Linked DNA regions of Arabidopsis thaliana. The protein of the gene in region 1 interacts with the protein of each later gene in a biochemical or structural test. Each region holds a gene or a part of one and is shown in the gene's direction. Other genes may lie near its edges.

Region 1 (5,525 bases):
GAAGTCAATAACCAGCTGGCATGATCACCGTTTTGCAATTATCCCCATAATTACCGCAACACCCTTCTATTTTTTTATCCTTTTTTTTCTTTAATTAGTATTTACTATTTATTATCGTTATGTTCTTAATTATCCTATTATTGTTTTAAATATTTTTATATAGCGAAATAATTTATTTAAGAAAAAGTCAAGAGAAAATTAATTGACTATATATGGAAAATAATTTGAGGGTGCGAGGCATGACCTAGCTAGAGAAAAATAAAATAAAATGAAGGCATGCATGGTGCTTGGTTCAATGTAATTAGTGGTTCCGTAGGTCTGAACGGTACGGACTGGCCATGATCTACTAGAAACAGTAAATAGTTAATACAAAGTAATTAATTATGAGTTTCAGCAAATTAACTACTCTATATCGAATGAATTAAACAGTAATCCCCAGAAAAGAAAAAAAGAGAACTATGACAGCCTTTTCAAAGGACACCCGAAAACCAAAATGAAGATTTTAAAAATGCCAGCTCTGCAATAGATATTGAACTTTCATTTGTAATTTTCTTTATTTTTGTTGCATTACACACATTTGTTATTTACATTTAAATTGGCTATTGCAATAAAAGATTACTTTATATGCTTATAATAGTACAATATATATGGTGGCTTAAACAAAAGTTTGGCTGGCTTGATAAATACATCTTACATCGAATGACGATTTTACCCTCTATCTTGCTGTCTCTGAGTACGAGGGTTGAAATCCTTACGTGGCATTTTTTCTCATTTTTCTTGGTCAAATAGTTTAACCAAACTCCAAAAGTCTGTGATTTGTTGACATACTTCTAACTAATTTTTTTTTATAATAAAAATCTATTGTATCTGTAGAAATAATCATTAGATTTACTTTCTAGAATATAACTTCTTATTTCTTAGTAATTTGTCCAGATTTTTTTTTACAACTAACTAAACACTAGTTAAAATGTTAATGTCTAAAAAATACCATTACAATTATTCAATTTAATAAAAATTGAGTCGGCCAATTTAATGCGAGACTTCTGTACAACGACCCTAAAAGTGGGTTTGATAAATGAAACATATTGCAACAAAAAAATACTAGTAATAATGATAAAATAGTAACATGTCGTGGCGCATTGAATATCCTACGAAGGTTTAGTGTTTACTTTTAAAAAATCCTAATATGATACTAGTACATATAGCTAGCTTGCCTTGCTTATGCTATTGCATAGTCTGTATTAATAAATGATGTTATACATTTCGATAGAGTAACATTTTGGGAACATGAGTGAACGTGCTTGAATCTTCGTGCCCTTGACGTCAGAAGCTAGTAATTTTAAATACTAATTAACATTCATACAAATTAACAGATACAATGTACTATATCATAATTCGTTTCCGTAACACAACGCAACAATTTGAAAGTAGATGTACTTTAGTACTTAGTTAGTGTGCACCAAAAAAAAAAGATGTAGTTAGTTAGTAAGGGGTTAAATGTTTTAATTTATTAAGAAAACTTAAATTCATTAAATGTTAGAAAAAGTCTAATTAGTTTATATTCGAACACTGTGCTCAAAATTAAAAAGTCAACTATTTTAGACTATAGAGTTTATTAATTAATAATAAATTCGATAAATCACCGTATTATTTTCTTCAACGACAAGTAGCCGTGAAGACACGGGAGCGAAGAGAGATAAACAGAAGATGAAGAAGAAGATCAATGTCATAATCTTCAGGGAGATAAATCCGTAATCTTTATTAATCAAGGTTAATCCTTTTTTTTTTCTTCATCTTAATTCTTTGCGTCTTCCTTTTCTATTTATCACGAGATCTGTCTTTCTTTTTCCTCTTCTTTCTCTCTCTTCTCTCTGAAGACAGTACTTGTTTCTGTCCGGCGTTAAAAGCTTCGGTGGTGGTCTCTTGACTTCTCTGAGAAGAAGAAAAGGAAGCTGAGTCTCATTTTAGATTCAGCTCACGAGGAAGTGACGACGATGTCTCATTCTAGAAGACTTTCGTTGGAACCTGCTATAGATTCAATCACTGGTCGATTTCGTGATTTACAGAGAAATGATGATGACGTCAACAAACCTGATTTTCGAGAACTCGATCTAGGTTCTCCTGTTTCTACCTTAATGCCACGTGGCTCTGCTTCTTCTTCCGCTGCTGCGACTCCTACTAGCAGCTCTGGCTCTTCTGGCTCTGCTTCTGGTAAACCGTCGGTGAGTTCTCAGATGGCTAAACGGTTAGATGATGCTTACAAGAGTCATTCCGGTGAGCTTTCTAGCCCCGGATCCGGAATGCCGACCACGACCCGGATTCTTAAACCGGGTCATAGAAGATCTTCTTCTACTGGCACGCCTTTGATCTTCTCTGGCTCTAGCTTTACTTCAGCAACGAGTCACACCTCGCCACAAGGAGGTGGTAGCGGTGCTACGTCGGCAGTGTCTCCCAATACTGGCGTTTTACCGGCGGGAAATATTTGTCCGTCGGGTCGGATCTTGAAAACTGGAATGGCGTCTCGGACTTCAAGTAGGACTGAGACTCTATGCACAGGAACTGGTAATTACGGACATGGAAACGTTGTACGCAGCGGCGGAGGAGGAGGAACCAGCGGAAAGGCGGTGAGAGTGGCGGAGAATGGCGAAAACCCGGAGGAGTTGAAGAGAATGGGGAATGATATGTATAGGAGAGGGAGTTTCTCTGAAGCTCTGTCGCTTTATGACAGAGCAATTTTGATTTCACCGGGAAATGCAGCTTACAGAAGCAACCGTGCCGCGGCTTTAACGGCATTGAGGCGGTTAGGAGAAGCCGTTAAAGAATGTCTTGAAGCTGTTAGGATTGATCCTTCTTACTCCAGAGCTCACCAAAGACTTGCTTCTCTCTATCTCAGGTAATCTTGAGAGGCTTTTTGTTTTGTTGCTGTGTTTTTAGTTTAAAGATTGAGAATTTGAAATGATGGAGTGAATTGTTGCTTTAGATTGGGTGAAGCTGAGAATGCAAGACGTCACATTTGTTTTTCTGGTCAATGTCCGGATCAAGCTGATCTCCAACGGCTACAGACGCTGGAGAAGCATCTCCGACGATGCTGGGAGGCTCGAAAGATTGGAGATTGGAAAACCGCGATTAAGGAAACCGATGCAGCCATTGCAAACGGCGCTGATTCGTCTCCTCAGGTGATTACATATCATTGTCGTATGATATGCTTGTAAAGATTTTTGACTAACAGTGAGGTTTTTTCTATTGGTTTGGACAGCTTGTAGCTTGTAAAGCAGAAGCCTTTTTGCGTCTTAAGCAAATAGAGGATTCGGATTTTTGTGTATCTTGCATTCCAAGATTGGATCATCATTACCATTCTCAACCGCAGGTGAAACTCTTTGGTATGGTAGTTGAAGCTTATGTGCTCTGTATCCAAGCTCAAGTTGATATGGCATTAGGAAGGTGAGCTTTCGAAACTCAGAAATGTTGTGATTCTTTGGATTTTTGTTTCTCCACCGGTGAGTGAGTAGATATGATAGGTTTGTTGCAGATTTGAGAATGCGGTTGTCAAGGCAGAGAGAGCTGCGATGCTTGATCAAACCAATCCTGAGGTTGTATCAGTTTTAAACAATGTGAAGATGGTTGTGCGGGCACGTACTCGTGGTAATGAGCTATTTAGTTCGGGGAGATTCTCGGAAGCGTGTGTAGCTTATGGAGACGGTCTCAAGCAAGATGACTCCAATTCGGTTTTGTACTGCAACAGAGCAGCGTGTTGGTATAAGCTCGGTTTGTGGGAGAAATCTGTTGAAGATTGTAACCATGCGCTCAAAAGCCAGCCTAGTTACATCAAGGCACTTCTACGTAGGGCTGCTTCATATGGAAAGGTGAGATTAGAACTTACTATAATCAGTTATTGACAGAATTTTGCAGTGTATTCGAATGACAATGTGTGTTGAAATATATAGCTTGGTAGGTGGGAGGATGCGGTTAAAGATTATGAGTTCTTGAGAAGAGAACTTCCAGGAGACAGTGAAGTTGCAGAGTCTCTAGAGAGAGCGAAAACAGTGCTAATGAACAGAAGCCAAGAATCTAAAAGCCTAGGTTTCAATAATGAAGTTGAAGCGGTTTCGACTTTGGATAAGTTCAAGAAATCCGTAGCACTTCCCGGTAAGTCTAATGAGAAACTTCAATTTGTCTCAAAAGGTTGAGATTTTGCGTGTCTTGCTCAAGTTGGAAACATTTCTCTTCAGGTGTCTCTGTATTTCATTTCAAATCATCATCAAACCGACAATGCGAAGAAATTTCTCCATTCATCAACACTTTATGTCTTCGGTATCCATTAGTACATTTCTTTATGGTAAGAACAAGAACACATTCCAAATATGCTTTTTATATCACATTTTCTTCTAAACTTATATGTATAACCTATGTTTCTCAATGTGTTAACTGAGAAAATGAAATGTTATTAGGTGGATGTGGAGGAGAGCATGGCGTTGGCGAAAGCAGAGAGTATCAGGAAAGTTCCGACATTTAAGATGTACAAGAATGGAGATAAAGTGAAGGAGATGGTTTGTCCTAGCCATCAGTTTCTAGAGGACTCTATAAAGCATTTCCTCTTATGATTGAAAAAGCCCTATCATCATTATCTGCTTCCCTATGATTCGATCCGAATAGCCTATTTAAAAGACTCAGAAAGCATTCTATGTGAAAGATGGGAAAGAGCTCTTCTGTCAAATTCAACAAACTATTCATTCTTTCTTCTTATTCGATTCTAATTCTTCTTTATTTATTTTTTGGAGTTTGGCTCTGCTTGCTTTGGCATATTACGTATGGGTAAATGTTCGCAATGATTCAAGAAATGCAAGCTTCATTATCTATTTACGCTTGGCTTGTGTATGCTAGATTATTCACCACACCAGTGAAAGAAACTGAACAGAGTTTACTGTATTTGGTGTTGTTGATTCAATCAGTGACAGAATATGAATCAGAGAGTACCGAATCCAATCAGCTTCTATCTCAGCAATTCAGAAATGAAGGAATATAAGTTTCAAGATTGGATCCATAAGGATAGATAGTAAGACGACAGTAGTGAATTACAAATAAGAGTGTCCTGAGACAGGCATGCAATACATTCAAACCAGAGAGACATTTAGGGCTAAACCAGAGTACAAGTAACATAGACAATCATGATATAGGGAACAGAGAAACTCTACTTTTCACTATTATTCACCGCACATTCAGTTCTTGAAACATATTGTCCAGGTGCACACATATCATATCACTGCAACATAAGCAAAGAAATCTTGAATCAAAATCGGCTTATTTTAATTTGATTTACCCCGAGTAAAGGAATCTCTTATACTTACCTCTGCATCGTCTCCACCAGCACCAGGTTTGGCAGAACCATTCGTCTTATGAGCATCGTCTCCTGCACACAAATGCAAAATTAACAGTTGAAGTCCAAGTGAAAATATATATTGATAAAAACTGGCAATCGTCTTCCAGATGCTATTTCAACTATCTATCATCAAGAATGTCCATGGATA
Region 2 (5,971 bases), about 17 Mb from region 1:
GCCAAAGGAATCATAACCTCTCATGCCACTAAACCACGAGCTAATTGATGTTGTTTCTTTTGTGGGGCTTTTTCTCTATTACTCTCCACTATTCGGTCCTTTATTTATTAAACAGAATCAATAAAATATACTCTATAGTCTTCAACAGTATGATATATTACAAATTTATAACACACAAAATCACACTATAGGTGATAAGATTTGCACTATTAATTGCAATGGAAAAATGTTCTAAGAATAATTATTTCTTACTAGAAACTATTGATCTTAAAGAAATAGTCTCTTGTGCAATTGAATGGTAGCTAGGGTATAACCAATTGAAACATTTTAAAATATGACTTGTGTATATTTTTTTCTTTAATATGTGTATATGATTATTTATCAATGAACATTTCAAAATAGCATTTTCTCGTTGGCTGAAATAATCAAGCTAATATTTTGCTTAAGTCATACAAATCTACTCATAAACTTGGTGGAAGAAGGCAGTGTAATGATGAAAAGGATGGAGTGTGTGACATGGAACATGATATAAAGGCTCATCTATGGCATATTATATGAAACTAAACTAATTAAAATCACATAAAAATGGAAAAAGAAGTGAGCAACATTATGGTTACACCTTAAAGTTTGTTATTGTAATTTGTAAAGTCACTTCTCTGTTCATTCCCCCACGCCTCTGCCTCGACAGTGAACATTGGATCAACCAAATTTTACAAAAGACCATTTCATATGCGATGCATATTATGACTAAATTGGGTCCCAATTATTTTGACCACACACCCCACCATATGAAATATTTGTATATCGGTTTGGAATAATTTCTCCCAAAATTCCTTTCAATATAATTGCCATTCTTTTGTAAAAGGTTTTGTTTTTTTTTTAAATAAAGTATTAATACAATACACAACAAAAACAAAACAAATTATCCCAAAATTCCAAACTTGATGTGATTATAGACTAGAATTTCTATTATGTTCGTTTTTATTAGTGTTGTCACTATATCACTAACTATATTCATATTCAGTTGCTTGTCAATTATTTTTTTTTGCCAGTCTTAGATTTATTATTTATTGCACTGTTACATAGACGATTCTACAACGGACAATTCCTTCCGACTCTTATTAGATCTAGTTGCTTGTCATCTAATATTTAAATTATTTTAAGAAATGTTATACAACTAATATTTAAATCATTTTAAGAAATGTTATACAACAATAGTATATAGCTAAATTTTTAAATGGAAGTTTATATAATACTACACTTTTTCTTCATTGAAATTTGTGAAACATCTCATAGATACAATTCCCATTTAGAAAATTAGCAGTGATCATAATTCTTTCTAAGGTTCAAAATCCCCACATGGAGCTTTAATGAATTAAAATTATGAAACCATTAGAAACAAATAGATATAGGACTAAATGAAACTGAAAACATATTTTTCTAAATATTAGAGTTTTATTCTATAAACTGAACTTAATTTTTTTGATTATCAAACAACATGTATTCTATTAGATTAATAATGTCACTTACACAAATCACTACAAGTCATGATCACAATTCCACAAAATCATAAGATTGATCATAACCATTTAATAAATCAATCATCTATTAGAAAAACATCATATGTAAAAAAAAACGATTCGACAAAGATGTTTTAAAAATAATAAGCATCAACAATTAATAAAACTTAATAAATTACCTAAAAGCAGCTTTTTCTTTTCTTCAAAAAAAGCCCTTTTTCTTCCTCTGCTTTAGCATCGTCTCTTTATCATCTAAATGTTTCAACTTACTTACTTCTCCTTCTCCATTCAAACTCAAAAAACCTCCCTCCAATGACTACTTCACCAATCCGGGTTCGGATCCGGACTCGGATCCAAATCTCCTTCATCTTCCTCCTTACCCATCTCTCACAATCTTCCTCCTCCGACCAATCTTCACTCAAAACCGACTCATTATCACTCCTCTCTTTCAAAACAATGATCCAAGATGATCCAAACAACATTCTCTCAAACTGGTCACCTCGTAAATCCCCTTGTCAATTCTCCGGCGTCACTTGTCTCGGAGGAAGAGTCACCGAGATTAATCTCTCCGGTAGTGGCCTCTCCGGAATCGTCTCCTTCAATGCTTTCACCTCTCTTGATTCTCTCTCTGTTCTCAAACTCTCAGAGAACTTCTTCGTCTTAAACTCAACCTCTCTTCTTCTTCTTCCTTTAACCCTAACTCATCTCGAACTCTCTTCCTCCGGTTTAATCGGAACCCTCCCTGAAAATTTCTTCTCCAAATACTCAAATCTTATTTCCATCACCCTCTCTTACAATAACTTCACCGGAAAGTTACCTAATGATCTTTTCTTAAGCAGCAAGAAACTCCAAACCCTTGATCTTTCTTACAACAACATTACCGGTCCAATCTCCGGTTTAACCATTCCTCTTTCTTCTTGCGTCTCCATGACCTATCTCGATTTCTCCGGTAACAGTATCTCCGGCTATATCTCTGACTCACTCATCAACTGCACCAACCTCAAAAGCTTGAATCTTTCTTACAACAACTTCGATGGGCAGATTCCAAAATCTTTCGGTGAGCTTAAACTCTTACAAAGTTTGGATCTTTCTCATAACCGACTCACCGGTTGGATCCCGCCGGAGATCGGAGATACTTGCCGGTCATTACAAAACCTCCGGCTTTCTTACAACAACTTCACTGGTGTGATCCCTGAGTCGTTGTCCTCATGTTCTTGGCTACAAAGTCTTGACCTTTCAAACAACAACATCTCCGGTCCGTTTCCGAACACTATCCTCCGGAGTTTTGGATCTCTTCAAATCTTACTTCTCAGCAACAACTTAATCTCCGGTGACTTTCCGACTTCAATCTCTGCTTGTAAGAGCTTGAGAATCGCTGACTTCAGCTCGAATCGATTCTCCGGTGTGATTCCACCGGATTTATGTCCCGGAGCAGCTTCATTAGAAGAGCTAAGACTCCCGGATAATCTCGTCACCGGAGAGATTCCACCGGCGATATCTCAATGCTCTGAGCTACGAACGATTGATCTCAGTCTCAATTATCTCAACGGTACAATCCCACCGGAGATCGGAAACCTCCAGAAACTCGAGCAATTCATAGCTTGGTACAACAACATCGCCGGAGAAATCCCACCGGAGATCGGAAAACTACAAAACCTAAAAGATTTGATCCTCAACAACAATCAACTCACCGGAGAAATCCCACCGGAATTTTTCAATTGCAGTAACATCGAATGGGTCTCATTCACAAGCAACAGATTAACCGGAGAAGTGCCTAAAGATTTCGGAATCCTTTCCCGGTTAGCCGTTCTTCAGCTCGGTAACAACAATTTCACCGGAGAAATCCCACCGGAGCTAGGAAAATGCACAACTCTGGTTTGGCTTGATCTTAACACAAACCACTTAACCGGTGAAATCCCTCCCCGGTTAGGTCGTCAACCCGGTTCAAAAGCACTTTCCGGTTTACTCTCAGGAAACACAATGGCTTTTGTTAGAAACGTTGGAAACTCATGTAAAGGTGTTGGAGGTTTGGTTGAGTTCTCAGGGATCAGACCAGAGAGGCTTCTTCAGATTCCATCTCTTAAAAGCTGTGACTTCACAAGAATGTATTCAGGTCCAATTTTGAGTCTATTCACAAGATATCAAACCATTGAGTATCTTGATCTTTCTTATAATCAGCTTAGAGGTAAAATCCCTGATGAGATTGGAGAAATGATTGCTCTTCAAGTTCTTGAGCTTTCTCATAATCAACTCTCCGGCGAGATTCCGTTTACGATTGGTCAGCTCAAGAATCTCGGTGTTTTCGATGCTTCGGATAATCGGTTGCAGGGTCAAATCCCTGAATCTTTCTCGAATTTGTCTTTCTTGGTGCAGATTGATTTGTCGAATAACGAGTTAACTGGTCCGATTCCTCAGAGAGGTCAGTTAAGCACGCTTCCGGCGACTCAGTACGCGAATAATCCGGGGCTTTGCGGTGTTCCTTTACCGGAATGTAAGAATGGAAACAATCAGCTTCCTGCTGGAACAGAGGAAGGGAAACGTGCTAAGCACGGAACTAGGGCAGCTTCTTGGGCGAATAGCATTGTTTTGGGAGTGTTGATTTCCGCTGCTTCGGTTTGTATTTTAATCGTTTGGGCGATTGCGGTTCGTGCGAGGAGGAGAGATGCGGATGATGCGAAGATGCTTCACAGTTTGCAGGCGGTTAATTCCGCCACTACATGGAAGATAGAGAAGGAGAAAGAGCCGTTGAGTATTAATGTAGCGACGTTTCAGCGACAGTTGAGAAAGCTTAAGTTTTCGCAGCTTATCGAGGCGACAAACGGATTCTCAGCCGCGAGTATGATCGGACACGGCGGATTCGGTGAGGTTTTTAAGGCGACGCTTAAAGACGGGTCTTCCGTGGCGATCAAGAAGCTCATTAGACTTAGTTGTCAAGGAGATCGAGAGTTCATGGCAGAAATGGAAACCTTAGGGAAGATCAAACACCGAAACCTCGTACCGCTCTTGGGATACTGTAAAATCGGGGAAGAGAGATTGCTTGTTTACGAGTTTATGCAATACGGAAGCCTCGAGGAGGTGCTTCACGGACCAAGAACAGGCGAAAAACGGAGGATTTTAGGTTGGGAAGAGAGGAAAAAGATTGCAAAAGGAGCAGCAAAAGGACTTTGTTTCTTGCATCACAATTGTATCCCTCACATAATCCACCGCGACATGAAATCGAGCAACGTGCTTCTCGATCAAGACATGGAAGCAAGAGTTTCAGATTTCGGAATGGCGAGACTGATCAGCGCATTAGACACACATTTGAGTGTAAGTACCTTGGCAGGCACGCCAGGTTACGTACCACCAGAGTATTACCAAAGTTTCAGATGTACCGCAAAAGGCGACGTGTACTCAATCGGAGTAGTGATGCTCGAGATCTTAAGCGGGAAAAGACCAACGGATAAAGAAGAGTTTGGTGATACGAATTTAGTAGGTTGGTCGAAGATGAAGGCAAGAGAAGGGAAACACATGGAAGTGATTGATGAAGACCTTCTAAAAGAAGGTTCTTCGGAGTCTCTGAATGAGAAAGAAGGTTTTGAAGGAGGAGTGATTGTGAAAGAAATGTTGAGGTATTTGGAGATAGCGTTACGGTGCGTTGACGATTTCCCATCAAAGAGACCTAATATGTTACAAGTTGTTGCTTCGTTGAGAGAACTTCGTGGAAGTGAAAATAATAGTCACAGTCACAGTAACAGCTTGTAACAACATGAAGATCTCTGTTTTTTTTTGTTTTTCTGGCTTTTTCAATGCATTTTTTTTTCCTGTGAGAATGTGTATGTGTGGTTGATCAATGATTAAAATTTCATGATGTATCAAGACTTAATTAATGTAATTTAAATTCTGATTCCTTTAATAAATAACTATGCAGATTATAACAAATCAGAGTCTTAGTTGGTGAATTGTTCTTTATTACCGAGTGTCGTTAGCTCAATTGGTAAAGACCGTAAACGAAGCTTAGAGAACGCCGATTTGAGTAACGCTTGAAACGAAACTAATATTACACGATGTGGTTTCGTGCATGAAAGGATTACCGACATTGGCCCAGAACTTCCTGGTATTAGAAAAAAAAAAAAAAAAAAATTGTTCTTTATTAAACGCTCGAATACACACGATTAGGCTTTGGATAGAGAACATACAAATGGGCTCAACAACTGAAGTTTCAAAATTATATTTGGGCCATAAAGAACTATTTAGAATATAGAAACATTAGGCCCATAATGACTCTTTCTCCTTCAGGCCTATGAACATCTAACACTATAAGACTATACATTCGTGAGTAGAATATTTTTTTTTGTGAGAATAGTATTTCAAACCACAAAAGAGAATATATTTCAATGTGTTACTTCATTAGTATGTGTGAATTTATACTTGTTGATGTGAATCAAGTAGGTGGTTGTCTAGTAATTTAG

What was found. Proteins that work in one complex are often made in the same cells at the same time.
Region 2: the proteins of TTL3 (region 1) and BRL2 form a complex in vitro, tested with the Arabidopsis thaliana proteins (one study listed by BioGRID).

What each region holds. Positions count from the first base shown.
Region 1 is NC_003071.7:17,726,861-17,732,385, forward strand, and holds TTL3 (tetratricopetide-repeat thioredoxin-like 3), read left to right. Parts: upstream 1-1,618; 5' UTR 1,619-1,994; coding exon 1,995-2,893; intron 2,894-2,980; coding exon 2,981-3,176; intron 3,177-3,256; coding exon 3,257-3,441; intron 3,442-3,529; coding exon 3,530-3,863; intron 3,864-3,944; coding exon 3,945-4,146; intron 4,147-4,229; coding exon 4,230-4,336; intron 4,337-4,448; coding exon 4,449-4,601; 3' UTR 4,602-4,976; downstream 4,977-5,525. Other genes in the region: GRF9 (general regulatory factor 9), read right to left, coding at 5,304-5,407. UniProt on the Arabidopsis thaliana protein: Involved in osmotic and salt stress tolerance. May play a role in the control of meristematic cell size during osmotic stress. May function as an adapter protein for BRL2 and may be required for signaling affecting leaf vascular tissue pattern formation.
Region 2 is NC_003071.7:440,098-446,068, reverse strand, and holds BRL2 (BRI1-like 2), read left to right. Parts: upstream 1-1,744; 5' UTR 1,745-1,832; coding exon 1,833-5,264; 3' UTR 5,265-5,445; downstream 5,446-5,971. UniProt on the Arabidopsis thaliana protein: Receptor with a serine/threonine-protein kinase activity, which may transduce extracellular spatial and temporal signals into downstream cell differentiation responses in provascular and procambial cells.